7 linked regions of the Cricetulus griseus genome follow. The protein of the gene in region 4 interacts with the protein of the main gene of each other region in a biochemical or structural test. Links are inferred from orthologs where the notes say so. Each region holds a gene or a part of one and is shown on either strand. Other genes may lie near its edges.

Region 1 (4,018 bases), on a different chromosome or scaffold from region 4:
GGGCACTGGGTGCACACTCAGGTATGGCTGGCCACCACTGTGGTAGCATCTCTTGCTGGACCGGTGGCTATGGATTAATGTGGTAGGAATGCATCTTCTTATCTGGGTCCCTGTGTTGAATTTAATCCCCACTGAGAGTAGTAAGAAGAAAGAAACTGGTTCCTATCACACTGCTTAGAGGTAGGACCTTTGGGTGGTGAAGGGGACTAGATAGAAGGTGCGTAAGTGAATACTGGTGGCTTTACAGAGGAAACAATGTCAGAAAACACACAGTTTCTGACATCACACATAGACAGTTCTCTATCTCCCCCAGTCTCTGCCATATGATACTTGTACCACACTGAAACTTTGCCAAGAAGGCAATACACATACAGTCATTTGACTTGAAGTAAGCCAAATTAAGCCTTTTTATTGATAAAGCAACCCACTGTCAAGCAGTTTGTTACAGTGATAGGAAATGCACTCATACACCAGAGGCAGAAAGGAGGCATGAATGGGAAGGACCAGAGACTATCATAACTGAACAGGGCTTGTAGAACTGTCCACTTGCGAGGCTTCTGATGTCACATTGCTCATCACCCCAACTACACATCAACTAACTGCCTGAAACTGTGGTATAAAATATCACCTAAGACAAGAACAAACAAAAACAAAAACAGACCAAAATATACCTGTCTTCTCCTTCTGTGTGCACAAAGCCAATGCATGGGAGTTTGTAAGAGAACAGGGTTGGTGCACTGACAGGCAAAGTTATGAAACTTGTTGTGAGTCTAAGTCAGGGTCTTTGAGAGTTTGGATGCAAGGAAACAGCTGTTTAGGGGTCCATAGAACACAGAAGTGTTGATTTACCCAGGATCCTAAACTCTAGAAGTTACCCAGAAAATGATAAGTAGAGTCTTTAACTTGATCTTTGTACAAAACCCAAGTAGGAGGCTGTCAACATTAACACCGACCCCAACACAGACATACACACCATACCACACCACATATATACACACACTACACTCATACACATACACTATACCCACACCAAATCATATCACACCCCACATGCACCACACTTACACACACTATACCATACCCTACACAGCAAACCACATATACACACACAGTGCACATGCCATGTTCACACACAGCACACTCACACACACATTGCATCTCTCTCTCTCTCTCTCTCTCTCTCTCTCTCTCTCTCTCTCTCTCTCTCTCTCACACACACACACACACACACACACACACACACACACACACAGCGATGACCTAGCTGTGCCAGGTGGGCTGTGGACACTCACCTAGCGTGTCCTTGAGATTCTTCACCAGGGAGCCTTTCTTCAGGCTGTTCTTGCGCTCCACATAGTTGGACGGCACGTAGCCCGTCCTGTTGGCTGCGTTCCTCACCCGCCACCAGGTCTTGGAGTCATCCAGCAGCCACAGTCTCTCGTTCTTCCTGATGTCGAGCTCCTGGTCCTGCTGGGCCGTGTAGTCCCACTTGGCTATGACAATGACTTCTTCTGTCATCTTTCATGGAGTCCTTCTGCCAGCAAAACATTTAAAGATGCTCATTAGCTACCTGAACGCCTTGTCCTCTGACAGACTTGAAAAATTAGACAATGACAGCTCCTGTGACTACACTGCCACTAGTCTCCTCTAGGCCCTTGAAACACTCATCCTTAAAATGACCTTCCAGCAAGCTCTGGTACTGCTGAGAATCAACATCTTGTAACCAAAGCCTACAGCCTCTCTCCCTGCACTAGATGAGCTACACATTTTACCGAAGCCAGATGCAAACTTAAAATACAAATCTTACAATGAAAGTGCTCATTTGACTAAACAGCACCAGCCCCTACAGCTGATAGGTTCACACTCCTGTCCTCAGCATATGCTCAAGGATCTGAAGCTATTTAGCAAATATAACTACTTCTGTACACTCAAATTCAAATTACTGTACTACTAATGCAACATGGTATCCTGCGACGGATGGTAAAATAGAGACAGAAAATTGGTGGAAACACTGTTGAAATGTAAACAAAGCCTGGGCAACAGCATAGTCCCCGTGTGAATTAGTTTTGACAACTCATGTAATATGTTAGCATTGGAGAAATTAGCTAAGGGGTATACAGGAATGTTCTGCACAAATAGCTCTACAACTCTCCTGTAAAAAAAAATGAAATTATTTTTGAAAACTGGTATCCACACAAAGCCTATATTTAGATATTTAGGCTACTTTATTCATAATTGCCCAAACTGGGAAACAACCATGACGTCCTACAGTAGGTGAGCAGATAAACCAACTGCCTACCCGAAAATGGAATATTTAAGCACTGGGGAAAGAGTGAGAGGAAATGCAGATGCCTTCTAGAAGTGAAAACAGGCTTTGAGGCCTGCTAGGCTGGGCATGCAGCTTTCGTGTTGGGGTTCCTCTGGGCAAACTTTATTGAAGAGCCTGGGAACCCTGTTCTCTGTGACTTTTGTGTCCATCCTTGCATCGCCCAGTATTAGCAAGATCCTCTACCCCATACCTGATCAGGTTCCTCTCACACCACCATGCTGCAGGTGATGTCTGGTCACCTGGCCTCTTTTAGCAAAAATCCTGTTAGGCCAGATGGGACCCCCCCACACACACACACTGCATTTCCTCCTCCCCTCTAGCTAGATGACCTCACACTTATCTTTATATGGGGAGCTGAATTCTGTCTTCCCAACTGAAAAACTCCCCTACAGTACCCGCTAAACAGTCTGCCTTGATATCTCCTAACTAGTTTTCGAATAGCAATTCCACTATATAACATTCTGGGTAAGGCAAAAAGAAAGAAAGAAAAAAATCCATGAAGACATGGGACTACTGGACACTTGGGGGTAGGAAAAGCAAGCAATGCAGAGAGACCGGTGAAGGCATGTAATTGAGAGTGTGTGTCAAGACACATCTGTGGTACAGATAGAAATACACATTAAAACTATGCCAAAAATACAGCTTATTAACATAACAGATACAACACAAATCTGAAGTCAATCTGGGAAGTAATAAATAGGTAAGAATACAACACATACAGGCCTTATCTACTTCAGCAATTCCACTCTTCTCAGGCAGAAGATGCATAAGGGTTTTGGTTTTTTGTTTTGTTTTGTTTTTGTTTTGCAGCAGAAAAGTCAGTATCCAATCCCTCTACTGATTTGAGATGCCCACAAATTACAGAAGGAACAATGACAAGATACTGGGCCCAAACCCCTTGGTCCTCCTGACAGAGTTCTGATCTCATACCATGAGTTCAGAGTTATAGAGGAACCCATGCATGTGATTCGTGGAGGCATGGATATGACACTTACTGCCATGTATAATACATGTCTTCTCACGTATTTCCACACGAGGAGATAAAAAATCATTCAGGAAGAAGAAAATGTATGTAAGCCGTGCACGCAATGTCCATAATGTCCAAGAGGGTGGAGTTTATACAAAGTTCAAAGTTCCTCTGAGAGCTGGAGACCTGCAATGGGGTCCCTAGTCCATACCGTGTGGCTCACACACACTGATTTCTCTGTAAGACGACACCTGTGAAAATCACCGAGGTGGACATCTCTTTTAACGTCAAGGGCAGGGACAACAGCAGAAAGAGAAATGGGGCTCGGAAGGCGATTCCCCTTCAACACCAGATTTGCCGCTCACTCATAGGATTCCCAAAATGACTTAAAATGGGAGCAGATCATCACTTCAATCAGTTGGTACCCAGCCAACCAAAGCTCTCTACTGAATGGCCTTCTACATCCACAGCAGCGACGGGAAGAGCAGGCGTTTGTTTCGGTGCAGGCTGAAGGCACAAAGCTTTATAAAAACACCTCTTCCTGCTAAGCCACAGCACAGGATACTGGAGAGGCTGGAAACACACAGTGTTTTGTAAGGAATATGGCGGGCACCAGGCACAACTAACCAAGAGAAAAGCCGCATGTGCTGCAGATGGCAAAACCGGACGCTCGGGGGCTCAGATGCTGGACATGGAGGTGCAAAATTTGGTGTTTATCTGGC
Region 2 (4,683 bases), on a different chromosome or scaffold from region 4:
TCCTAGCTCCCGCCCTTTTTGCTGTCAGTTTGTTCTCTGTATTGCTTATGGTGTCCGTCTTGTCCTAGAACGGATGCCTCATGAAGGCCAGGATATTTTTTGGTCATTGTTTATTTCCTCAATGTCTCAACACACAGTGGTCAGAAGCACCTGTACTTCTTGAAGGTGGGTGCTCCCTGACAATTCCTGCCAAGCTAAGTGGTGGACCTTGCATTCCCCGGCATCCACCACAGCCTCCGAACTTGATCTCATCATCGGACTGTCTGATGTCGCTGTTGTAGTAAGGTCTATGAGTGAGATGCCCACCTGTCATGGCCATAGGTCTGTTTACAGGACCTCTCCTCTTCACCCTTGCTCCAGAGACTCAGTAAACCTAGCTTAATTTAACTTGGTTGTCTCCCTTCCCTCCCTTTACCCTGCTGGTCTGGTCGAGAGCTGTTCTGGAAGAGGTGTGACTACGTAGGCAAGTGTGGCCAGCCATGGGTTGGGGTGAGAAAGGCAGATGCCAGTAGCCTGGATCTGGCTGGGATGCTGGAGGTGGCGACAACGGCACTGGTCAGAGTTTTGGGTTTTGAGTAAGGGCTCACCTGGCGGGCAAGGGGCTGGGTGAGCATCTCCCCATAGGGGCTGAGGGGACACTCTGTGTAGTGTTGAAGCAGGTCCTGAAGCTGCGCATGGGCACTGTCTTCGCCCAGCACCACGTGACGCCCATCCCCTAGCTGGGCAAGGAGGAAGTGACGGCAGCAGGTCCGGCTCCTGGAGGGGCCACTTTGGGTCAGACTTGCCATTTCTTCCCCCACCAAGCTGAAGGAAAAACCCTGAGCCCTCCTTGGAGAGATAGCAGGTCAGCACAGAGGGCTGCTCCTTGGTTAGCACAAAGCCCCCGCGTCCAGCTTGTCAATGAGGACCCGCCTCTTACCTGTAGGATAGCACGAAGGTCACAGCGCTCTCGCTGAAGCGCACCAGATAGCATCCTTGTGGCTGGGGCTGCAGCAGCCTCTCAGCTTCCCTGTACAGTTGGAGAGAAGGGTGGGGTCGGTTCTGACTCCTGCGACCTCATTTCTGTCTCCCAGGTTCTGGTAAGGGACCTCTCACTTCCATCCCAAGCAAGTATGCCACGACTATGTGGAGATGAGGGGTCAGGGGTCCAACTCAAAGGGCCCTGAGCTTCATCCTGCTGGAGGGGGAGCTGCAGGAGTAACAGACATGGCAGTTACAAGTGCTAAAGTTTAGAAGGTTAAAGCTGGACCGAGGAGATGATGGAAGACAAGTAGGGTTGAGAGATGGAGCATGGAGGATCTGCAAGGGTAGGAAGAGAGAAGGGAGGGCTGGACAGAGCTGACAGAGATGGAGGGGAGAGGGGCTGAAGATGAGGACTAGAGGCCTAGAGCCTGTAGAATAAAGTGAACCTAGGGAGAGAAACTGAGGCACAGAGTGGGTTGAGCCAGGCATCCCCTCCGTGAAAGGCCTGGGAAACTAGAGTCCTAGCTGTCACGATTTCCGGCCTGACTCAGGACCCACAGCCGCTGTGCCTTCTGGGGGTTTTCTCCCCGTGACTCACCGCCTGGTGATGAAGCCATGGAACCAAACAGGGGCAGTCTTGAGCAAGAGCCAGTGGGCCTGGGTCTTCTGGACCCACTCTCTGGTCTCGGCTTGCAATGACAGGCCACCTTTCCCAGGCACCTCTTCTTCCTTGTCAGCGTTCCCTAGGACCCAGGCTGAGGCAGAAGCCTGGGCATGGGAGAAGTCAGTGTGAAGCAGCCAAGATTAGAGGGCTTCTGACCGCAGCTGCCTCCTTTTTATCCTCGTACCAGCACCTCGACCTATCTTAGGGTCAGATTGCCCAGAAAGTCCTTCCCAAGGCCACTGACTTAAATTTCTTCTGGCCTTCTGATGACCTTCCATACTGGCCTCAGAGGGTAGGGGATGGGATAGGAAGTTGCCCGAGGCAGGAGAGGTTGGCTTCTTCTCTAGTAAAGGTGGCTGGTGAGCTGGTGGCTGAGAGGGCAAGAAACTGAGATTGGCTCTTTAATGCTTTGGGCAAATGGAGGTGCTGACGTGGGCCACAGACAGCAGCATCTGGAATCAGTGCCTGACTGTGTGCTGGTCCCCTGCTGACTGGTCCTGAGCTTTCTAGGACCAGAGGAACTGAGGGCAAGTGGGTTGCTATGCACGGGAAGGAGGCACGCCCCACTTCCTCCTTCCTCGGTACCCAGCCCTGTCCTCAGCCAGCCGTTCACTCCTTCTAGCCTTCTATATCCATCTCCATGCCCTCATACTAGGGAGGGTGGGAGCAGATGAGGCAACCGTTCCCTTCCATGCTTTTACTCACCATGGTGTGGGTGGCCCTGGGGCTAAGCTGAGCCTTCTCTTCCTTCGGAGCCTGCATGCTGGGCTTGCTCCCCCAACCCAATTCCTGGCATCGCCCCTGGGTCAAGTTCATGGGCTGGAAGGTGCTGAAGGTTGGGGAGGGGGCTTCATGATTTCCTGTTGGGACAAAGGGGGTTTCTGGGGTTTCTCAGGGAGGAGTTGCTTCTCCCTCTCTTTCCCTCCTGTCCCCCAGGCTCAGAGTGTCTCTCAAACATCCCTGAAGAGGCTTTTCCTAACAGGAACAGTCATGGCAACAGGCTAAGTGCAAGTGTCTACCGGGGAAGTGGGTGGGCACCTCAGGGGTAGGAATAAGGAGCCAAGGTCTTCCAGATGGTGACCCTGGGAACTAGGCTGGCCTTCTGATGGCCTGGAAGCCGTGTAAGAGGTAAATTCCTTCAGGCCAGGCCCCTCTCTTAGTCTAGGCTCTTCCACCTGCCATCTTTTTTTGCCCTCTTGTTCCAGTCTCCTAAAAATCTAACGACCCTGTCCCCTGCCCTCAGGGATGCATAGGTACAGAGCCCCAGAGATGGAGCAGGAGTTGACACTATGGCAGCTCTGGCTGGGGTCAGGAGCTGTGATCATGAAATAGGAGCTCAGGCCCAGGAAGGCAGTAGGGGTAGGGGACTCTTGAGCATCACACGTACCTTGGGGGCATGTCTGAGCCAAGCAGAACTCCATAGAGGCAGGTGTGTGTGCTCTCAAAAGAGGGACACACTCCGCGGCGGCCACGCATCTCTCCTCTCACTCCTTCCCCCAGCGACAGGAAATGTCGCTTTACCCACCTCCTTCATCGTGAAGAGGACCCACGTCATGGAAAGCCCAACAAGAAACAGAATTGGCCCTGGAAGGCAGGCAGCTGAGGTGCTGGTGGTTTACTCTATTAGTGCCAAGGAGTGCTTGCTAGCTGACCTTTGTCCCTCCCTGAAAACTCTGTAAGACTTCTCAGATATTCATAGTCAGAATTTTACTTTGAGGAGAGAAATGGGAGGGTAGGGTAGGGCAGCAACAGGAAGGATGTGGGTTAGACTTCTGGAAGAACTTTGTGTATGTGTGTACATGTCTGTGTTTGTGTGATGTATGTGTTATGCCACAGGTGCACTTGCTCGTGTGTGTACATGGAAACTAAAGGTTGAAGCAAGCATCTTCCTTAACCAGCCCTTCACCTTATAGTCTGAGACAGGGTCTTTCATTGAGCCTTGAGCTCACAATTTCAGCTGGACTGGCTGGTCAGTTAACCCCCTGGGATCCACTGTTTCCCTTTAAACCAGCACTGGGGTTACAGGCGTGTGCCCAGTTTTTATGTGCTTGCTGAGGCTCCCAACTCAGGCCTACAAGCTTGTACGGCAGGAACTTTGCCCATGGAGCCATTGCTCCAGCGGCTGGTGGGACTTATTTTCAGCCATATGGGATCCATGAGACACGGAATTTGAGTTTGAGGCAGATGGAGAGCCTGCCATCTGTCCTTGAGCAGATAATGGAGTTGGATTAGGGCAACACTAAGCAACCTTGGGGGATTCTCTAACTACACAGGTGTTGTTGAATCTGAGCTATCCCCGCAGGTTCATGCTTTGAACTTATGCTTCCAAGCAGTGCTGTCTTGGGAAACTGTAGGGACTTTAAGGGGTGGGGGAGAGGCAAGTCACATGTGGCAGGTGGGTATCCTCTTTGTCTTTTGGTGTTAACCCAGGGGAACAGATTCTATGACCCATTTAACATTACTTAGAAATGGAAAAGACTTGCACGTCTTTAATCCCAGCACTCAGGAGGCAGAGGCAGGTGAGTTTCTGAGTTTAAGGCCAGCCTGGTCTACAGTGTCAGTTTTAGGATAGCTAGGGCTTACACAGAGAAACCCTGACTTGAGAAACAAAAACAAAAACCCCAAACATAAACCAAAATAAATTAAATAAATAAATAAATAAATAACAGGCGCTGGTGGCGCACGCCTTTAATCCCAGCACTCGGGAGACAGAGGCAGGCGGATCTCTGTGAGTTCGAGGCCAGCCTGGTCTCCAGAGGGAGTGCCAGGATAGGCTCCAAATCTACACAGAGAAACCCTGTCTTGAAAAACCAAAATAAAATAAATAAATAAAACCCCCAAACAAACAAAACAATACAAAAAGAAAAAAAAAAAGGAAAATACCTTATAGAATTTACTAGAAAACTGTTTGATCTAATAGCACAGTTGCAGGATACAAAATCAATATCAAAACACTAACCTTTATATATATACCAACAATGTATTCTCAGAGAAAGAAAAAATATCCTATTTGTGATAGCTTCAAAAAGTTAAGTATGTAGGAACATACCTAACCA
Region 3 (4,018 bases), on a different chromosome or scaffold from region 4:
ATCATCTAGCAGGTGAGACACACTGCTGGAGGGTGGAGGTTACCAAACATGGCTACTGAACATGTCAGAACTTCTTTGCTTATGCAAATTTGGACAAGAAGAGAGGAGGGTCACCCATTCAGCTATGGTGATTTGATTATTCAAAGCTTGTGTAACGGTGGGGTCGTGGAGGCCAGCCAGCGCCTTCTCTCCACCCAGACTTCATTTAAACCTCTGCCTTTCGGCTCCACTCTCTAAGTGCCCAAAGGCTCTTGGCACTAGAACCCTCACCTATAACTCAGTCTGATGGGAGTGAGACAGGCTCTTGGCTCCTGATATTAATTTTTTTTTCTATATTCTTCCCCTTGCAGCTTCTGTGTTTCTCCTTCTTCTTCTCTCTCTCCCTGGAGTGGCTGACAATGACTACCATGGTCAATGTGGACACCCTTCCGGAATATGAGAAGAGTCAGATCAAGAGAGCCCTGGAGCTAGGGATGGTGATGACTGTGTTCAGTGCCCGGAAGGGCACCTCAGAGCGGAGGACGGTGCAGGTGATCATGGAGACTCGGCAGGTGGCATGGAGCAAGACTGCGGACAAGATCGAGGGCTTCTGTAAGTACTTGCTGGGCGGGCAGTGAGGTCCATCGGCCCTGCCCACCAGAGTAGTACCTGTTGGTCCTCCAGTCTGTCTTTGTCACCTTTGTCAGGATGAGTGTTGGTTTGGTCCATTCTTTTAAAGGCGAAAGCATTTCCACTTGGTGGGGGTAGGGGTGGGGGTGGGGTGGGGTTGAGAGGAGGTGGGGGAAGTTGATCCAGGGAAGTTCTTGTGAAATGACAGCAACCCCAATTGGTCAACTTGGCCGTGATCTTGAAACAGCAGCAGGGTTCATCTGGTTTCCATAGCTGTCAAGCTGTCTGGCTTCTGAAGGACTCCCTGGCTGGGGTCTGGGGAGGCTGGGAGCTTGGTAGCCAGAGGGCTAACGACTTTATTTTATTGCAAACCACAGCAGCAAGAGACTTTTACTTTGGTGTTTAAAGGCACAGAAAAAAAAATCATTGGATATTTTGCAGCTTCCAAATGAAATTCTGGTCCTGGTGGCTGTGCCTTCCCTCATCACCTTCGTTGCCTTACACTGGGCTGTTGGCTCAGCTCCCCGAATTTCTGAGGGGATTGCTTGTCGCAAATAGAGTCAGGACACTTAAGTAATTTTCAGTTGCAGAAGTGTACTTTAATTTTATTCCTTATTAATGAGTGAGAGTTTTATTTATTTATTTTGCTGTGCCTATAGCATTCATATGAGGGTCAGGGGATCACTGGTGGGAGTCGGTTCTCTCTTACATGTGGATTCTGGGGACAGGACTCAGCTTAGCAGGCTTGGTGGCAAACACCTTTAGCCCCTGAGCGATCTTGCCAGTCGAGTTTGTTTTAGAAGGATCCCATGTAGCTAGCCTGGGACATGGAATGTAGCTAAGGATGACTTTCAATTTATGATCTTCCTACCATAGTTCTCAGGGCCAGGATGGAACCCAGGGCTTTGTGCATATGGGGCAAACACTATCCAATGAGCCATGTCTCTAGTTAACAAGATTTTTTTAATAGTAATTTCTTTGTGTGTATGTATGTTTGGCATGCATGCGAAGACCAGAAAACAATTTATAGGAGTTGACCCTGCCCTTCTATCACATGGGTCCCAGGGATCACACTTCAGTCATCAGGCTTGGTGGCAAGTGCCTTTACCCACAGAGCTATCTTGGCAGCCCCCGGAGTAGCTTTTCATTGAAAAACTATAATGTACCTTTGAAATAGTAGTGCTCAGGAGGCTGAGGCAGGGGGGATTGATTGTAAGTTTGAGGGCTACATAGTGAGATCTTCTCTAAGAAATAAAGTACTCTCAGAAGTTGGGGAATTAACTTACAAGAGCCTTTCACCTCTGACCCTTCACCCCTACCCTACAGATAGCTCTGTCCTAGCTTGTTCTTTGTGGTTGGGATACACACCGTGAACAATAGCAAATGGGGTAGGAAAGATTTATTTCAGTTTACAGGTAGAGAGCTTGGTTTGCTCTGCTAAAGATGACACCTTTCACAGTGTGCTGGGTCCTCCTACATCCGATAGCAATTGAAAAAATACCCCACAGACAGGACAATCTGAGGGAGCCAATTACTTTTCCAAGGTGACTCTGATTGGAGGAAGGTTGATAACTGAAGCTAAGATGTCAAACTCATAAACTTCTGATTTTTTTTTTTTTTTTTGAGATAGGGTTTCTCTGTGGCTATGGAGACTGTCCTGAACTAGCTCTTATAGACCAGTCTGGTCTCGAACTCACAGAGATCTGCCTGCCTCTGCCTCCCGAGTGCTGGGATTAAAGGCGTGTGCCACCACACCTGGCCATAAACTGCTGATTTGTCTTCTGCTAATATTCTATGTTCACATAATGGAGGTTTGTTTGTTTGTTTATTTATTTAATGAAAATGGAACTACTTCCTTCTGCTCCTTGGTTTCTTTTTGCCTGGGGCTGGTGCCTTTTCAGCACACAGATCTGTCCCTGGCTTTCTTGGGCCTGGCTGCCAGTTTAACTGGAGTGGGACTTGTGCTGCTTCCAGACATTTGTCACTAGCTGCAGCAATGTTTCTTTCTTTCTTCCTCTTTCTTTCTTTCTTTCTTTCTCTCTCTTTCTTTCTTTTTTTTTGCAGTCTTCTTTTTAAAAAGTCATGATTTTATTGAAACAAAATCAACTTAACATACTTACAGTTCATGATTTAAAGAGACAATGCAAATTTAGGTGTGGTGGCTCAAAGCAGTAGAAGTCTTGGCCCTCTGGAGGAAGGAAGATTAAGGGTTCAAGAGAATGCTGGGCCAGGTATAGTGGCATGCACTGTTTTTTTTTGTTGTTTTGTTTTTTTTTTGAGACAGGGTTTTTCTGTGTCACCCAGGCTAGCCTCAACTGAGAGATCTACCTGCCTCTGCCTTCCAGGTACTGGGATTAAAGACACCACTGCCCAGTTTGTTGCATGTACCTTTAACCTCAGCACTCAGGAGTCAGAGTGCTGAGGAGTTAGTTTGAGGCCAGCCTGGTCTACATAGGGAGTTCCAGGACAGTCAGGGATATGTAGAGAGACCTTGGAAACAGACACACACACACACACACACACACACACACAGAGAGAGAGAGAGAGAGAGAGAGAGAGAGAGAGAGAGAGAGGGAGAGAGAGAAAGGGAGAGAGAGAATCCTCATCACCACATAAAAGCATGGTGACATACACCTGTAATCCCAGAGCTGGGGAGGCAGACAGGAGGGTCCTTGGTGCTTGCTAGTCATCCAGTCTAGTGCCAATCAGTGAGGTGCAGGTTCAGCAAGGAACCTTGTCTCAAAATATAAAGTGGAGAGTGGTCAAGGAAGACACCAGTCATTGACATCCTCCTGCATGTGACAAGGGTCACCATGGTGGTTAGTATATTTAAATTTATGTCATCACTGCCAAGGTCAATTCTGGAACATTTTCAATAAGTAGCCTTGTCCCCCTGACCCTCTTCCTCTGACTCCCTCCTACTGACTCTCCCCTAGCCCTGAATCTACTTTCTGTTTCTACAAATGCTGCTGTTGTGGCCATTTTGTGGGAATGGAATCCTGTTTGTTTATAGCCTTTTCACATGGATTCTTTCTGCTTCATGTTTTAAGATTTTTCCACTTTTTAGTGTGGAATGGAATTTTATTTTTTTAGACATCCAAGTAATATTCTACAGTAGAGTTATTCTACATAAGAAATTGTTAAATCTGTTCATTTTAGGTAGTTAAATAGTTTCTGTCTTCTAATTTGAAGAGTGTGGCTCTGAACATTTATGTTTTTTATTTTATTTTATTTGGCTGTCTTGGAACTTGCCCTGTAGACCAGGCTGGCCTCAAACTCACAGGGATCTGTCTGCCGCTGCCTCCCAAGTGCTGGGATTAAAGACGTTCACCACCACTGCCATTTTTTAAAGAAAAATTTTTGAAGATTTAAAATATTTTGCTGGGCATTGATGGCGCACGCCTTTAAT
Region 4 (4,018 bases):
AGGTATAAAAGAATGCTGCTAGCAATTCTTTTCTTTTTCTTTTTTTTTCTTTTTCTTTCTTTTTTTTTTTTTTTTTTTTTTTTTTTTTTGGTTTTTTTGATACAGGGTTCTCTGTATTGTTTGGAGCCTATCCTGGCACTCGCTCTGTAGACCAGGCCAGCCTCGAACTCACAGAGATCCTCCTGCCTCTGCCTCCTGAGTGCTGGGATTAAGTGTGCGCCACCAATGCCCGGCGCTGCTGGAAATTCTACTGTGGATAATTTGAACTGTTTTCCCTGGTGATTTAACTGAAACCATCAGATTTTTGAGCAAGTGCCTCTCTGCCCACTGAGCCATCCTCTAATGTGTTGTTTTTCATTTTTTATGTCTGTATGTGTCTGAGTATATGTGTGTACCTGCAGAGGCCAGAAAAAAAGCCTTAGAGCTCCTGAGGCTAGAGTTCACAGAAAGCATGAGTCTCCTGATGGACCAAATTCCAGTCCTCTGAAAAAGCAGCAAGCACTCTTAACCCCTGAACCACCTCTCCAGCCCCTAATGTGTTTTTTTAAAAGATTTTATTTATTTATTTATTTATTTATTTATTTATTTATTACGTATACAACATTCTGCTTCCATGTATATTCCAGAAGAGGGCACCAAATCTCATAACGGATGGTTGTGAGCCACCATGTGGTTGCTGGGAATTGAACTCAGGACCTCTGGAAGAGCAGCCAGTGCTCTTAACCATTGAGCCTCTCTCCAGCCCAATGTGTTATTTTTTAATTTTATTTACATGTATGAGCCTGTGTGGTGTGTATGGTATGTGTGTGTGTGTGGGTTTGTGTGTGGGGAAGTGTGTGTATGGTGGAGAGGGGCAATGGGTACCCTCGGAGACTGGAAAATAGGACCAGATCTCCTGACGCTAGTTAACAGGCAACCTGAGTCTCCTGATATGTGTGCTAGGAACCAAGTTCCAACCCTCTGGAAGCACAGCAAGTTCTCTAAACCACTGAACCACCTCTCTAGCGCCTGTGTTATTTTTATAATTAGAAAAGAAATATAAAAATTACCACTCAGCCCAGCAGTGGTGATGCATCTTTAATCCCAGCACTCAGGAGGCAGAGGCAGGTAGATCTCTGTGAGTTCAAGGCCAGCCTGGCCTACAAAGCAAGTTCCAGGACAGCGAGAACTGTTAACACAAAGAAACCCAGTCTTGGAAAAACAAAACAAAAAAACAAACAAAAAATTATATCTCAATATGAATGAAGGTGGATTTATCCCCCTTTCACAGTAAGAGCTCCAGGGAGGCTACTATCATGAAAGCCTTCCTTTCTACAGAAAAAAACCCTTCCACTCACGAGTGGGTGCAGTTGATGGGACACGGCTGGCATATGCCCTCCGCATCCGGGTACTTCCAGATGGGCATGTAGGAGAGGTCTGGCTTCACACCACTGGGGCAGCGAGCCACACAGGAGGAGGAGTCCTTGTAGTGGGCGCAAGCGGTACACTGGTCAGCCTCCTGGATAGAGAGGAAGGGTTTGTGGGGTTGGGATCACCATCCCTACAGCAGAAGGACCAGGCCCTGTGTCCCTGACCTTGCAGCAACACTGCCTCCCTGTCACTGGGGTAAACATCCCTGCTCTTTACAAGGAAATGGAGGCACCCAGAGAGGGACGTGCGTTCTCTAAGGTGTGACAAGTGACAACTATTATGTACAAAGTTTTTTCCGTGCTTGGGCACCGTGCCAAATCCTATTTAATTTCATTCTCACCACACCCCAACCAGGTAGGAACTATTACAACATTCTCCTTATAGAAGTGAAAACTGAGGGTGGAAACAGGGCCTGGATGTGGTCCCTAGCACAGCTAGAACCAAGGACACAGGCCTTCTTGGGACTGTCTGAAGGGCTCCAGTGTCACCAGCGTGAAGGGAGAGCCCATGGTCCACAGTACAATGAGGGCAGAGCAGTGCCCCCATTCCAGCCTTCCTGACCTTCTCCCCTCCTGCTGTCCAGGTCTGAGCTGAGCCTTCTCTAGGAACATTTTACCCTGCAGCAACTTAACAGACCCCCGGTACCCTTTTGCTTGCCGGTGTCGTCCTGTCCCCGTGTGTGTGTGTGTGTGTGTGTGTGTGTGTGTGTGTGTCTGTCTGTCTGTCTGTCTGTCTGTCTGTCCGTGTCCCATCTCCCCCCCCCTCGAGGCCACCAGCACCTCACCGATCCAATGCAGGTCTCTGTGTTGTTTTGAGGCTGACACTCGGGGTGGCATGGCAGACAATGCTTGCCATCCACATACTCCCTAGGGAGCCTGTAAGAGAGGCAGGTATAGTAAGGGGTCTGGGAGGTCCCCATGTGTGTACCCCTCAAGCCACCCCACTCCTCTGCTACTCATACCCCTTCGATACTCGGCACTCCTTCACACACTCCTGGCCCCGAAGGAAGTGACTGCAGTTGACACACTGGGTGGGTCCTGGCCCCCAGCAGTGCCCATGGGCACACAATGGGTAGCAGGCCAAGTCCTTGCGATCTGCAATGAGGAGAAAAGCAGGAGAGGTATTAGGAGAGGCTCACTCAGGTCTAAGCAAAAAGGCTGTGAATGAGCATGGCTCTGGCTAAAGGGGTTGATGCCAGGACATTCAGGGTGAGGAAGAATTCTGTGGTTCAACAACAAGGAAGGGATGGATGTTTGGGCAGCATGGAAGGACACAGCTGGAAGCCATGTCACAATGCCAAACCATCACTGGGAAGTGAAGAATGGCTCCAGTGGGCATGCCTTTAATCCCAGCACTCGGGAGGCAGAAGCAGGCAGAGCCCTGTGAGTTTGAGGCCAGCCTGGTATCCAGAGTGAGCTCCAGGACAGCCAGGGCTGCATAGTGAGATCCTATCGCAAAACAACAACAAAGCAGGGCTAAAAAGGTTTGCACAGGCCAGAGGCTATTGACACTTCTGTGTACTGGCCCACAGGGCTGGCCTTCCTGTCTTACCACATTCCTCCTCTGGCTGGTTCCCACTGTGGAGCAAAGCCTGGTGCGGGTTCCGGAAGAGCTGGTCCCAAGGTACAGTATGTACAAAGCAGAGACGGGTGTTGCGGTGAATGAGTACCAGTCCGCTGCCCAGCTCCCGCAGTGAACGCAGCCCCAACCAGTGGATTCCCAGGCCTTGCAGCGTCAATGAGTAGGCGCCACTATGGAAATAAAGTTTCCAGTTGCAAGGAGGTACCTACTCTAGGTCCATTTCCAGCCAACAGGTACCTCCCCCTGCCTCAAAACACTCTGTCAACTCATGTTAAAAGCTACTGTGGTGTCATGCCTCCTAGGCTCCCTCTCCACACACTTACTCATGGAGAATTCGTCCCCGAATGACTCGAAGGTTCTGGAAGACGCTAAGGTCATGGAGGCTGTCTGGCCATGCTGAAATGTATAGATAACCTGCGGGCAGAGGAGGGGGCCGGGTATGCAGAAAGGTCCAGAACTCCTGGCCCCCATGGAGCAGGACACAGAAAGACAGGGCCCACCTGTGATCTCCTCCAGGGTTTCAAACACTTGGAGCTGCTCAGGCTTCAGGGGAGCAACGCCGGAGGCAGGGTTCCTAGAAGGATCAGGAGGAATGAGTAGGGCAGGAAGATGGAGAGCAGGAGGCCCAGAAGGCCTTGACACACCACTCTCCATCCACACCAAGTCCTTTACTTAAAGCCCAATCAAGCCTGGCTGCTCCCATCCCAAGAGTCAAAGCCTAGGGTCCAAGTCCAGCAGAGCAACATTTGTGTCCTTTGATCTAGAAGTCTCATTTGCAGAAGTCTGGCCGGCAGAGACACTGGCTTCAGCTGCCAGAGGCATAAACAAGCTGAACTGTTTGTATGAGAGAAATTTGAAAATTACCCAGGTAGTCATTAGTGAATAAGATTGCTGCTACGTAAAACCCTGCTCTCTGCAGGCTCTGAAATACAAACACCGAGAGTGCTCAGTATCTGTCAAGCCCTGTTCTAAGAGTGTCCCAAATATTAACTCTTTCAGACTTTAGCACCACCTTGAGGGTAGAGCT
Region 5 (4,594 bases), on a different chromosome or scaffold from region 4:
CTGAGACAGCCATAGGTGGTACCTTCCTGTGGCTGGACTGCACTAAGTTTGGATTTGTGTGAACCTAACAGGAGTGAAAGTTTGTTGCCATCAGAAGAAAAACTTGTTTTGGAGTCAGGAGTAGGGGTTAGTGCCTTTCCCGTTGTTTTTAAAAGACCCCTCCCCCTAACCAGATAACTCCTGTTTGGCCTTCATCCTGACCCCACTTGCCCAACCTTCCCTGCTGGAAACATTCCTGAGGCTTTCGCCATTTCCTGCTATTTCCTACCCTTCCAGCTTCCTCCCTGCTGGGCTGAGGTACAAAACACGGCTCTCCCCCAGCTGCCACTACCTAGCTTTGGTCCGGTAGATAATCTCCCATCTCTTTAAGCAGATTTAAAGGCTCATGCTTCCTTTTCTTCCAAATGTGCATACTCTTGGTCATTCCTTGCCTCTGGATATGAACGCTCCTAGAGAAAGCCATCTCTCAAGATGAAGAATCATTGTGTGTGTTTGGAAGTGTATGGCTGTGGCAGAATTTTTCCTCCTCTAAGAGCTGAGGTCTTACTTAGTAGACGGGATGACAGAGTTTCTTTTCAGGAAGAAGTTCGATATTCAGTAACAGCTCTCCTGGGATGGGGACTAAGGGCAGGTGAAAAATCGGAAGAATGATATTTAACCCGTTTTAAGTTCCGGTATTGTTAATCACAATCATACAGTTTTTAATTCTCCAAACTAAACCTAAAGGTAGTTTGGAGGTGAGCCTGTAAAGAAACTACCTTTTACTTCTTGTATTTGCCTCTCCCCCCCCCCCTTTTTCTTTTTTTAAAGGAAATAAGTGATAGTTTATTCTGGAGTAATGCTGATTGGTCACTTTCTTTAACTTCCTGATGGCCTTTAGCAGAGCTGTGGCAGGAAGCTGTGGGCAAAGGAATATGGGCTTGGTGTTATTATGCACTTATGGCCAGATCCCAACCTCTGGTATCCCTTTCTTCTTCCTGTCTTTATTAACACTGATTTGTTTATGGCCCTATTATCCCTTTGTGGCTTGTAGGCACCAGTTCTGTTTGTTTCATTTTCAGACCTCCAAGGCCAACTCCTCTACTAGTGTGAGGGACACTGTTGGGTGGACCTTACAGCCTGTAAGGAGAGAAATATGTCTGTAGGTCTAAAGGTAGCCTGATTGTCTCTACATCCTCTGGAAAGGGGTCCAGGAAGTCCATTGGTCCTTGGTAGGTAACAAGCCTAAGGGACAGGCTTGCTCTAGCTCTTGCCTAGTAGCTCCCAGACCACCGCCCAAATTGGCCTTATTCCTCCTGTTTCAGCTTTGCTTCCCTCTTGGCCTCGATCTACACCCACTGGGACAACTTTCTCTTCCTGGTTCCTTGCTCTTGTCCACAGCTGTTGTGGCTGAGGATGCTAATGGCCCAGGTTCCCTGGGGCTGCCACCTCACTTACTGTATGGTGGGGGGTGGGGATGGTCTAGGCTGTAAGAGAAATACTAAACTCTAGATCACCCCCCCCCCTTTCCTCCCTCAGCAGCTTCTGTTTCCTCCTTTATCCCTCCTAACCTTCCGGGCTTCCTGCTCTCTTTGGCTAGCCCATGTCAGTTTGGATTAATCCAGAGTTCCTCTTAACTCCTTCCTTTCCTTCTTTCCTCTTTTTCTTATTCTTCCATCTTTCTCTCCTACCTGGCACCTTCATCCTCCCCAGACAGACCCTAGTTGTTTGTATTGGGTAAGGGAGAGTGGCCTGGCTAGCACACATTGTGTGAGGAGGTGTCTCTGCCCCTCTGAGCCTGTGAGTCAGCATTGTCCTTGGGATTGGTCTCTCCCCTTGGTTCCCCGCCCCTGGGGAGGAGCCAGTCAGCTCTGGGTCCAGCCTGTACTCCTCAGCCATAAGAGGCTTCCTCGCAGGGCTGGGCAAGGATGTGGCCTGAAACTGTCTTGGTCTGACGTGGGAGAGCAGAGGCCACTTGTCCTTCGCTTCCCTAGGTCCTCTGTTATCACCAGGCTGCAGAGGTCAGACCAGGCTAAGGGCCTGGGGATGCCCCCTGCCTGGCCCCCTTGCCTGAATTTGGCAGGGGGGCCAGGCCGGGCCAGGCAGCAGCCCCCCTTCTCACCCCAGCCATGGATCTTCTACCCCCCAAGCCGAAGTACAACCCACTTCGAAATGAGTCTCTGTCATCGCTGGAGGAGGGGGCTTCAGGGTCTACCCCCACAGAAGAGCTGCCTTCCCCGTCAGCCTCATCCCTGGGACCCATTCTGCCTCCTCTGCCGGGGGATGATAGTCCGACTACTCTGTGTTCCTTCTTTCCCCGGATGAGCAACCTGAAGCTGGCCAATCCTGCTGGGGGGCGCCTGGGGCCTAAGGGAGAGCCAGGAAAGGCTGCTGAAGATGGGGAAGGGAATGCAGGGGCAGCCCTTCGGGACTCAGGCCTCTTGCCCCTCCTCCAGGACATGAACAAGCTGAGTGGAGGCGGCGGGCGCAGGACTCGGGTAGAAGGGGGCCAGCTGGGGGGCGAGGAGTGGACCAGACACGGGAGCTTTGTCAATAAGCCCACACGAGGCTGGCTGCATCCCAACGACAAAGTCATGGGACCTGGGGTTTCCTACTTGGTTCGGGTGAGTGTACATCCTCCTTTCTGCCCCCTCCCATTCCCCATCCAGTTCCTCTGCTCACTCCAGATTTGCTGGGACTTCCTGCTCTTCCCCCAACATCTGTGGCATTCCCCTAGTTCTTAACCCTGCCTGCCACATCCCTTCTCCAGTTCTATGCCTTCTGTTCTAGCCTGGGAGTCTTCTGCCTAGGTCCCCTTTCCTTTGATCCCTACCCCCAGCTTACACAATGGTCAAGCACATCAGAGGCTTTTAGTAAGTGTTGAATGAAAAATGACTTCTGGGTTCTTCCCTCTAGACTCCTCCCTTTTCCATAGCTGTCACTCCATCCCACCCAGTGCCTACAACTCCTCTCACAATCTCTCCACAGTGCATGAAGGTCCTCTTTGGTGGCCCTTCTTCACTATGGGGTGGTGGCCCCAGGAAGTAGGAAGGCTACTTTACCTTTACTTCCCTTAGGGACTACATAGGGCACAGTCCTAGAACCTTCTGCAAAGGGTGGGGTATTGCGGGGAGGGGGCAGCTGATCCATCCTTGCCTCCTTCCCCCACAGTACATGGGTTGTGTGGAGGTCCTGCAGTCAATGCGAGCCCTTGACTTCAATACCCGGACTCAGGTCACCAGGTTAGTGGAGAGGCAGGTGTATTGTTGGAGTCTTGTATGGAGGAGGAGGAAAGGTGGGCATTTGGTGGTGGTGCTGATGGTGACTTCTCATGGGGTGGCTAAGAGACCTGAAAGTTACACCAGTGTGTCTGACTGCAAAGAGCCAGCTCTGGTCTGGAGCACCACCTTACCCACGCAGCCTGGGAGACTGTGGGACGATGGATTACAAAAGGCTGCTTTTGGGAAGGGAATGGCAAATTTGGTAACTGGGAAGAGGTGGGGCTATAACCATTGAGGCCCTAACCCAATCAGCCAGGAAGCAGCCCCTCAGTGTCATCAAATATTAAAGGCCCTTAATTCAATCCACCACGACAAAGAGCCTGGAGTGCTCTGAGAATCTGGCCTGCTCTTCCCCTCCCCCAGCTTTGTGGCAGCCCCAGGCAGTGGGAGGCCAGGAGTAGGTCTGAGTACCCCTGTTTCTCTAGGGAGGCCATCAGTTTGGTGTGTGAAGCCGTGCCTGGTGCCAAAGGAGCCACAAGGAGGAGAAAGGTATGTGTGGTTGTGGTGGGCAGGGGGAAGGCAACCGCAGGCACAAGGGGAGGAGACAGAAGTGTCTCCTGGTGTTGCCAGTGCTCAGGTTCTGAGACTTGGGGCCTTTCCTAGCCCTGTAGCCGCCCACTCAGCTCTATCCTGGGGAGGAGTAACCTGAAGTTTGCTGGAATGCCAATCACTCTCACTGTGTCTACCAGCAGCCTTAACCTCATGGCAGCCGACTGCAAACAGGTGGGTGGGGCTGCTGAAAGGGACGGGGGTAGTTATGGGATGATGGGGTGGGGGGATCTGGAGGCCAAAAACCTGGAGTCCTCAGGAGCAACTGGAGAGTAGAGAAGGAAGAAATTAGAGGGCTTGGGTATAGTGACAAATTTAATCCCAGTACTCCAGAGGCAGAGGCAGGTGTTTGAGTTCCAACTATACAGTGAGACCCTGCATCCCTGTTACACCCCCCCACTCCCCCCACCCCCGCCAAATAGAACAAAATTAGAAGAGTGTAGGATTAGAAGCCGAGAGAAAGACTGGGCGCCAAGGTCATAGCTGGGGTGAGGACACGCGGGATCTTGACCACTCCCTTCCTTCTCCATCCCCTGCCCACATGAGAGAATGAGAGTGGGTGCCAAGGTCATAGCTGGGGTGAGGGTACACGGGACCCTGAGGCTGCTGACCTTGATTGTTCCCTTCCTTCTCCATCCCCTGCCCGCATCAGATCATTGCCAACCATCACATGCAGTCCATCTCGTTCGCGTCTGGTGGGGATCCGGTGAGTTGGGGAACAGAAAGGATGGAGGTGGGGAATGAGAGACTAGGGGTTAAGAAGATACTGACTAACAACAACAACA
Region 6 (4,018 bases), on a different chromosome or scaffold from region 4:
AGGCTGTCACACTGAATGGGACCACAGGAACAGAAAGGAAATCAAGGCAGGCAGCCAGGCCTCACACAACCACGCAGGAGGGATGGATGTGGCTACAGTAGGGCACAAAGACCCTGGGCCTCACCGCCGGTAGAATAAGAATGAAGCCCAAGCCACCAGCTAGGAGGAACAAACTTCTCAGAAAAGAGACTGCAGATGGACACAGCAGGGGTGCCACTCAGCCCTTCGGGACTTCCTAAAAGCTCATATGTCACTCTCAGTTGGATGTCCACCTCCATCCACCCCTCAATCATTCCACACACACAATATCCTGAGGGCCTACTGTGTTCCAGGCATTGCAGTCAGCCCCAGGGATACAACAGTGAACAGGCAAGATAGTTAAACTTTAGCTGGTGTGGTGGCATGTGCCTGTAATCAAGACCAGGGAAGATCAAAACCTATGAACTAACCAGTTCCAACCCATCGACAGTGAGTCGCAGACTCACCGTCCTGGCTAAGTGTGGGCCACGGAGGCCTACCGAGCTATGGACCCGCTGCTGCATACTCTGCGGGGCTCTTACCTTGGGCGGGTCAAAGAGCTGCAGTAGGCGGCCATGGCCTGGGCCCGGGGCCCGCAGCACCAGGCGACCCCGCTGCCAGCGTGCGCCGCTGTCCATGGCTGCCTCGTCCGCCAGGCTATAGCGCAGCGCAGTTTCCTTGAGCGCTTCGGCTGGCGGCTCCCGCAAGCTCCAGGATAGCAGCTTGCGGGCCGGTCCAGGCCTGGTGGTGGCAGAGGTGTCGGTGTCGGTGTCATTGGTGTCGCTGGCGGCCCCCGGCAGCTCCCCGGCCGAGCGGCGGCGGAAGAGCTGGCGCAGGCCGCGGCGCAGATGCTGCAGGGCGCAGGTGGGCCTTGGGCCCAGGTCCTCGGAGCTTCGTGCCTTGGACAGTGCGGGGCGGTGGTGTGGGGCAGTGGCACGGTAGTCGCGGCCCGGCGGTCCCGCGAGGCCCTCGCGCACCTCGCGGCAAAAGTGTCGCTGGAAAAGCTCGGCAAACTGCAGCGACACCAGGTCGGCGCGTGGTGGCTGTGGGTGCGCGCGCGCAAACAGCCAGTACTGGCGGGCCAGCTCCCGCGCTGCTGCTGCTGCGTGCTGCTCACAGAAGTCGCTCCAGCCGCGCGGAGAGGCGGGCGACGCGGGTGCCGAGGACGTGCGGGAGGGCTGCACGGTGGACCCATTCATGGCGGAGAGCGAGGCGGGGCGGCCGAGCTGCAAGACAGACAGAGAGCAGTGAGCCAGGGAACGTACCCGCCCCCCACGGCCACCCCGGGAACCCCGCACGTGGAAACCAGCAGACAAGAAGGCGGGCAGTGCATACAAGGTGGATACAGGAAGCAGGCCAGGGAGGAGCTCCAGAGGGGCTCCAAGAGCTCAGCACCAGAGCCATGCGTGGGGTTTTCCCAGATTTTCCATCTAGTATTTTCAAGCCTGGGTTGAAATTCATGGGGAGTGAATTTTGGATGAGAGGAACTGCCTACCAGGAAACAGGCTACTCACAGCACACCTAAAGTAAAAACTGACCAGTGACACCCAGGGCTGGGCACTTCATTACCTATGGTAGGTTCTGGGAAGCAGTACAACTTCTTTAAGAGGTCAGTTTGAAAAGAGTAATTTTAGACCCCTTCCCCACAGCTAAAGGTTTTCATAGTAGGCACTTACTTGCTCATGGGCCCAGAGCCCTGACCACAGCTCCCTGCTATTGGTGACAACCCTCACTAAGCAGGCAGGCTTGGGAGGCAAGGGCAAGAGGCAATCTGTCACCTCCTCCAGGAAGCCCCAAGGTCACCCCGAAATCAAACCCAACAGTCCACCCTGTATGATCCTATTATGCAGTACATAAACCAAGGCTCACATGTCTCTCTCCAGCTAGTTTTTACACATCTAATGGTGGTCAAGATAGGCCTCACTAGCAGGTCCATCCTGAAACAGTAAACTATGGGAGTGCAGGGGAAGTAACTACCCATCTCTAGAAAGCATGGCTGGGAACATGGACTCCAGCCCCACCTCTCACTAGTTACCTCAAGTGATGCTCCACCTCAGCTCCCATGGCAATTACAGGCCTAGAATTTGGAAAAGTTCAATGTGACTGGCTGCTGTCCTCATTTAAATGTTGCAGCAAGCATGGTGACAGCCACACTAAAGACAAAATGCAGCCTGTACTAACCAGATTCACAGGGACATAGGCATCTCTAGGCCTGGCAGGGAACTCAGGCAGACGCAGGTATAAGACAACCATGAAAGATGCCATTGGTCACCACTGCACTGTCCTTGAATAAGATAAGTAATAGAGGAGCCAGGCACAGGGACATCCCTGAAGCACAGCCTGAGTGAACAGGGTCACCCAGCTTGCCTGTCACAGCTGCAGGGACCTGTGCACAAGACCCACCATCCACCCCTCCATCATTCCACATACAATATGCTGAGGGCCTACTGTTCCAGGCATTGTAGTCAGCCCCAGGGATACAACAGTGAACAGGCAATATAGTTAAACCTTAGCTGTGTGGTGGCATGTGCCTGTAATCAAGACCAGGGAAGATCAAAAGGTCAAGCCGGGCAGTGGTGGCATACACCTTTAATCTCAGCACTCAGGAGACAGAGGCAGGAGGATCTTGTGACTTTGAGGCCAGCCTGGTCTACAGAGCAAGTTCCAGGGCAGCCAGGACTGTTAGACAAAGAAACCCGGTCTCAAAAAACCAAAAAAAAAAAAAAAAAAAAAAAAAAAAGTTCAAGATCAACATTGGCTGCATAGTGAATTAACTCAAGGCCACCCTGCATTTCATGAGACCTGTCTCAAAACAAGCAAACCAACCTGTTTCCCCAGAGCTCACTGCAAAGAGGACCAGGCACTGACTGTGTGGCCACTGACATCAGACTACATCTCTCTGAACCTCAATTTCCAGCCCATTAAACATTTGTCAGGGGCTGGAGAGATATCTCATTGGTTAAGAGTACTGGCTGCTCTTCCAGAGGACCTGAGTTCAATTCCCAGAACCTACATGGCAGTCACATCTGTCTGTGATCAAGTTCAAAGTGATGTGACACTCAAATACATACATAAATGCAGGTAAAACACCAATGTACATAAAACAAAAATTAGTAAATCATCAAAAAAAAAATGTTTGCCAGGACTAGAGGGAAACATCTGGGCCCAGATGCGGTGTTCTTTCTACTGTACCTACTACACAGGCACTTTCTCCTGTGTCCTGTGTACTGCCACACTCAGAATAAACAAGTAAGGGTGGCCAGCCATTTCCAGCACCTGACAGGTTACTTCAACTCCAGTGCAGAAGCCTGTGTACTCACTGGGGGACACCGAACTCAGTCAGTACTTTGTATATCATACCATAAGGTCTTTAGCACACAGTAGGTGCTGTGTGCACATAGTAAACAGTAAAAACCAGGAGGCAGAAAGGAATAGGCCACTTCTAACCAAGCCCATCTCATTCTGCCCACCTCTCCATGGGAAGCACCTATTCCCTGGGGGATTCCCAGCCTTTGTCAATGCTATATCCCCACCCACGAGGCCTTGACACAGGAGAGGCAGTCACAGTCTCTATGGCCTGGATGACCCACAAGCTGAGTGTACACATCATAGCTCTGGCCTCATCTGCACACTGCAAGGGCACTGGGCTGCATTCTTGCATCCAATTCCCTAGACCTGTCTGTTTTCATAATATCACTTGAGGAGTACCAAGTCCCAAATCTGTCCTCAGCAACGAAGATTTGTCAGTGGCCATCTCCACCAGACTATGGCTCTGGGACCAGAGCACACCTGCTTTCCTCCACTTTCTGCCACAGCGGGGGCTTGATGAAACACACAAAAACTCAAGTCTTAACCCGGTGTTGGTGGTGCAAGCCTCTAATCCCAGTACTCGGGAGGCAGAGGCAGGCAGATCTCTGTGAGTTCAAGGCTAGCCTGGTCTCCAGAGCGAGTGTCAGCTCCAAAGCTACACAGAGAAACCCTGTCTCGAAAAACAAAAACA
Region 7 (4,018 bases), on a different chromosome or scaffold from region 4:
CTGGAGCAAAGAGGCTGCCTACGTTCCAGGCTACCTTGGGCTACATAGTGAGACCCAACAAAAATAAGAGAGAGAGACAGACAGACAGACAGACAAAGGGAGGGAAGTAAGTTGTTCATATAGATAGAGGCACAAAAGGCAGAGTTTTTTGTTTGTTTGGTTGGTTGGTTGGTTGGTTTTTGGTTTTTTGAGACAGGGTTTCTCTGTGTTGTTTTGGAGCCTGTCCTGGGACTTGCTCTGTAGACCAGGCTGGTTTCAAACTCACAGAGATCCACCTGCCTCTGCTTCCCGAGTGCTGGGATTAAAGGTGTGTGTCACCAATGCGGGACTCAAAAGGCAGCTTTGGTGGCACAAGCCTGTAACCCAGCACTTAGGTTGTCGAGGCTGGAGCGGTGTCTAGAGAGGTGTGAGAGATGTCTAGAGAGGTGGTGAGTAGTGATTGCTGTTCTTCCAGAGAGTCCATGTAGTGGACTATTAAGTTAACTATGTAAAGGTGTGTTATATTTGTTTATGGTGAATTTGTTTAATCATGTAAATATGTGTTGCTGTTTCACCTTGCCTGCCTAAGGCACCTGATTGGTCTCATAAAAAGCCAAATGGCCAATAGCTAGGCAGGACAGGGATAGGCAGAGAGCAAGTAGAAGAGAGCAAGGAAGAAAGAGGGAGACACCTGGGGCCAACCAGGCAGGCAACTGCCAGACAGACACAGAGTAAGACATAGAGAATGAAAGAAAGATAAAAACACTGAGACAAAGTGTAGACGAAGAGAAATAGGTTAATATAAATTAAAAGAGCTAGCCAGGCCGTAGTGGTGCTCACAGAGAAACCGTATCTAGAGAAACTAAAAACCAAACCAAACCAAACCAAACAAAAAAGAGCTAGCAAGAAACAAGCCTAAACTAAGGCCAAGCATTCATAACTAATAATAAGTCTCCATATCATGATTTGGCAGCTAGTTGGTGGCCCAAGAGAAAGGTGCTACATACCTGAGTTTGGTTCCCAGCACCCATGTAGGACAGCTCACACCTGCCTGTAAATCCAGCTCCAGGGGATCTGATGCCCACTTCTGACCTCTCCCGGCACCCAAATGCATACACAAACACCTACATACACACATAAACAAAAGGACATAACAGAGCCAGGTGGAGAAGAGGCTTGGCTTCTTCCCAGGTTTGTTGCTGACTTGCGAGTGCTCCCTTCCCTCCCTATGCCTCAGTTTACCTCAAGGCTGACTAGACATGGTCAGTCATTTCTCTGCCTAGGTCTGATATTCAAATGGCAGTTTACCCACACAAACAAGATACAGCTCCCCTTCTCTTGTTGACTTAATTTGTCTTCCTTTTGTCCTCCGTGCTATTACAACGAACCCAGGGGATGAAGCAGCTGAGCTAGACACTGATGCTGAGGCTGAGCTGGAACTCTCCGACTACCCCTGGTTCCATGGGACATTGTCCCGAGTGAAGGCTGCTCAGCTGGTGCTGGCTGGTGGGCCCCGGAGCCATGGCCTCTTTGTGATCCGCCAAAGTGAGACTCGACCTGGGGAGTGTGTGCTGACCTTCAACTTCCAGGGCAAGGCCAAGGCAAGTGTGTGTGGCCTGGGGGTGACAGGGGGAGTAGCCTGTTCTGGGGGAGTTGGACTGAGGTAGCCCAGGTCCTAAGGCTCATCACCAGCTCATGACCAAGTCCACTCAAAAAGCAATTCTTGCCGGGCAGTGGTGGCACACACCTTTAGTACCAGCACTCAGGAGGCAGAGGCAGGCAGATCTCTGTGATTCTACAAGAGCTAGCTCCAGGACAGCCCCCAAAGCCACAGAGAAACCCTGTCTCGAAAAACCAAAAAACAAAAAACAAAAACAAACAAACAAACAAAAAAACAGCAAGTCTCTCTGAGAAGTTAGCTTAACAGTCAGATTTACATGCCTGTAGTCCCAGCACTTCAGAAGCTGGGGCAGGAGGATTGTCAGGAGTGAGAAACCAGCTTGGGCTACATAACAAGTCCCTGTCTCAAAAATCTGCCATGAGCAGCCTGTACCTACACTTGCTATCTATCTTACTTTGCTCTGAGGCACCATTGTCTACTAATCCTGATGCTTATAACCTGTATAAAACATCTGTAATGAAGTCTACAACAACAACAACAACAACAAATCTCCACATCAGGACTTGGTGGTGTACATCTGGAAACCCAGCACCCAGGTAGCAGAGGCAGGGGGATCTGGAGTTTAAGGTCATCCTTGGCTACATAGTGAATTCAAGGACAGCCTGTGCTCGTGAGACCCTGTCTCAATAAATAAATGAATAAAGAATTAAGTAAAGGGCCAGCAAGAAGGCTCACCAGTAAAGGCACTTGCAGCCAAGTTTCACTGCCTGAGTTTAATCCCCAGAGCCCACGATGGAAGGAGAGAACTGACTTTTGTAGGTTGTCCTCTGACTTCCAAAATGCAGTGTGACATTTGCACATATGTACACATAAAGATGATGATAGATAGATACATACATACATACATGCATGCATGCAAACATAGATGATAGATGAGTTTTTTAAAAATCAATAAAAATGAAAAAGAGGACAAAGGTCAAGCGGTTTGGGGCATGACAGTGTGGCAGGTGTGGGCAGGGTCACTGTGCCCCTCACACTCACCCCATGTTTCCAATAAGGAAATAGACCCAGCCTTATATCCTTCCAGGGTATCATTTCCCAGCAGCCCCATAGCACCTCAAGTTTCCTGCCCGTGGCCTGCAGCTGAAGGTCATAGCCACCCTCACTTCTGACTGGACCTCCAGCAGCCCTCAGGCCTACTCTTAGCAGTGCTGGCCAGCTGGGTATGTGTGGAGGAGGCTAAGTCTCCCTACCTTGTCAATTCCTCTGACAACCAGGCACTTAATGTCACTCCTGGTGGCTGGTAATTGACATCTTGGCCAGCACTACTAACCATAGAGGGCTTGATCTCAAGCAAACATCCCGAGCTGAGACAGGATGGTGCCCTGTCTACCAGGGCCCATGGAGAGGTAAGCAGGACAGGCATGAGATGACCTTTAACCTGGGCTCTCTTCTAGCCTGGCTGCTATTGTCTCAAAGTGAGCAAAGGAGGCCTGACACCAGAGACCTGTGGTCCAATACTAAAGACTATTGGTCTATGGCTCTTCACACTGAGCCTCCTGCCTCAGGTAAACCCAGGAGATCTAAAGAGGATCATTGCTTAGAGTCACGTGCCATCATTGCACACCGCTGGGTCACCTGAGATCCTCTCTCCAAGCCAAAACAAATATTCAAAAAGACAGATTGATTCCAGTGTGAGGACAGATGTCTGCAGCCCTCAGCCCCAGCCTAGTTCTGTTATGACCATCTCCCGTACCTACCACAGGAGTGACCTACCCCAGATAGGACTCAGGATGAGGACCCCCAACACAACACAGTACCCTAAGGCCTCAGTGTGACTGATGTGTACTCCTCTAACCATTTGGGAAGCAGGTAGCCAGCCCGGGACCCCACTACTGACCATACATCTGTGCCCACAGCACCTTCGCCTGTCTCTGAATGGTCATGGCCAGTGCCATGTCCAGCATCTGTGGTTCCAGTCTGTGTTTGACATGCTTCGACACTTCCACACCCACCCCATACCCCTGGAGTCAGGGGGATCTGCTGGCATCACCCTAAGAAGCTATGTGCGTGCCCAAGGCCGGCCTCCTGGTAAGATGCCACCATCTGGAGCTTGATATGTGGCTCATATATAGAAGGTTTGCCTCGTATGCTCAAGGCCTGGGTTTGATCCCCAGCACTTCATAAACTGGCTGTAATCTCAGTCCTCTGGAGGAGAAAGCAAGAGGATCAGGAGTTCAAAACCATTCTCTGCAACATGGTGATTTAAAGGTCACTGGATATGTTAGACCCAGACTCAAAACCCTTCACCTGGACACACAGACACCTGGGGTGGGTTCTGGAAGCCCTGTAAGGTTAGAGTTCAGCACCAGATTTTGAGGGTACACTGGTGGGGTGCCTAGCTTAGGCTGGAAAGGC

What was found.
Region 1: the proteins of Erbb2 (region 4) and Nck2 form a complex in vitro, tested with the Homo sapiens proteins (2 studies listed by BioGRID and IntAct, with this or other methods). The link is inferred for Cricetulus griseus from reciprocal best matches to the Homo sapiens genes ERBB2 and NCK2.
Region 2: the proteins of Erbb2 (region 4) and Sh2d2a form a complex in vitro, tested with the Homo sapiens proteins (2 studies listed by BioGRID and IntAct, with this or other methods). The link is inferred for Cricetulus griseus from reciprocal best matches to the Homo sapiens genes ERBB2 and SH2D2A.
Region 3: the proteins of Erbb2 (region 4) and Plcg2 form a complex in vitro, tested with the Homo sapiens proteins (2 studies listed by BioGRID and IntAct, with this or other methods). The link is inferred for Cricetulus griseus from reciprocal best matches to the Homo sapiens genes ERBB2 and PLCG2.
Region 5: the proteins of Erbb2 (region 4) and Shc1 form a complex in vitro, tested with the Homo sapiens proteins (2 studies listed by BioGRID and IntAct, with this or other methods). The link is inferred for Cricetulus griseus from reciprocal best matches to the Homo sapiens genes ERBB2 and SHC1.
Region 6: the proteins of Erbb2 (region 4) and Sh2b3 form a complex in vitro, tested with the Homo sapiens proteins (2 studies listed by BioGRID and IntAct, with this or other methods). The link is inferred for Cricetulus griseus from reciprocal best matches to the Homo sapiens genes ERBB2 and SH2B3.
Region 7: the proteins of Erbb2 (region 4) and Sh2b2 form a complex in vitro, tested with the Homo sapiens proteins (2 studies listed by BioGRID and IntAct, with this or other methods). The link is inferred for Cricetulus griseus from reciprocal best matches to the Homo sapiens genes ERBB2 and SH2B2.

The regions. Positions count from the first base shown.
Region 1 is NW_023276807.1:4,981,636-4,985,653, forward strand, and holds part of Nck2 (cytoplasmic protein NCK2), read right to left. Parts: intron 1,535-4,018; 5' UTR 1,519-1,534; coding exon 1,293-1,518; intron 1-1,292. UniProt on the Homo sapiens protein: Adapter protein which associates with tyrosine-phosphorylated growth factor receptors or their cellular substrates. Maintains low levels of EIF2S1 phosphorylation by promoting its dephosphorylation by PP1.
Region 2 is NW_023276806.1:66,619,454-66,624,136, forward strand, and holds the start of Sh2d2a (SH2 domain-containing protein 2A), read right to left. Parts: upstream 3,049-4,683; coding exon 3,015-3,048; intron 2,488-3,014; coding exon 2,308-2,487; intron 1,719-2,307; coding exon 1,562-1,718; intron 1,010-1,561; coding exon 920-1,009; intron 757-919; coding exon 588-756; intron 1-587. UniProt on the Homo sapiens protein: Could be a T-cell-specific adapter protein involved in the control of T-cell activation. May play a role in the CD4-p56-LCK-dependent signal transduction pathway. Could also play an important role in normal and pathological angiogenesis.
Region 3 is NC_048596.1:194,122,641-194,126,658, forward strand, and holds part of Plcg2 (1-phosphatidylinositol 4,5-bisphosphate phosphodiesterase gamma-2), read left to right. Parts: intron 1-350; 5' UTR 351-398; coding exon 399-591; intron 592-4,018. UniProt on the Homo sapiens protein: The production of the second messenger molecules diacylglycerol (DAG) and inositol 1,4,5-trisphosphate (IP3) is mediated by activated phosphatidylinositol-specific phospholipase C enzymes. It is a crucial enzyme in transmembrane signaling.
Region 4 is NC_048600.1:111,550,153-111,554,170, reverse strand, and holds part of Erbb2 (receptor tyrosine-protein kinase erbB-2), read right to left. Parts: intron 3,566-4,018; coding exon 3,492-3,565; intron 3,406-3,491; coding exon 3,315-3,405; intron 3,162-3,314; coding exon 2,962-3,161; intron 2,505-2,961; coding exon 2,372-2,504; intron 2,286-2,371; coding exon 2,195-2,285; intron 1,499-2,194; coding exon 1,338-1,498; intron 1-1,337. UniProt on the Homo sapiens protein: Protein tyrosine kinase that is part of several cell surface receptor complexes, but that apparently needs a coreceptor for ligand binding. Essential component of a neuregulin-receptor complex, although neuregulins do not interact with it alone.
Region 5 is NW_023276806.1:65,125,109-65,129,702, reverse strand, and holds the start of Shc1 (SHC-transforming protein 1), read left to right. Parts: upstream 1-1,699; 5' UTR 1,700-2,108; coding exon 2,109-2,603; intron 2,604-3,150; coding exon 3,151-3,221; intron 3,222-3,685; coding exon 3,686-3,749; intron 3,750-3,863; coding exon 3,864-3,983; intron 3,984-4,461; coding exon 4,462-4,515; intron 4,516-4,594. UniProt on the Homo sapiens protein: Signaling adapter that couples activated growth factor receptors to signaling pathways. Participates in a signaling cascade initiated by activated KIT and KITLG/SCF.
Region 6 is NC_048597.1:101,679,672-101,683,689, forward strand, and holds part of Sh2b3 (SH2B adapter protein 3), read right to left. Parts: intron 1,245-4,018; 5' UTR 1,218-1,244; coding exon 561-1,217; intron 1-560. UniProt on the Homo sapiens protein: Links T-cell receptor activation signal to phospholipase C-gamma-1, GRB2 and phosphatidylinositol 3-kinase.
Region 7 is NC_048597.1:115,193,882-115,197,899, reverse strand, and holds part of Sh2b2 (SH2B adapter protein 2), read left to right. Parts: intron 1-1,371; coding exon 1,372-1,580; intron 1,581-3,519; coding exon 3,520-3,691; intron 3,692-4,018. UniProt on the Homo sapiens protein: Adapter protein for several members of the tyrosine kinase receptor family. Involved in multiple signaling pathways. May be involved in coupling from immunoreceptor to Ras signaling. Acts as a negative regulator of cytokine signaling in collaboration with CBL.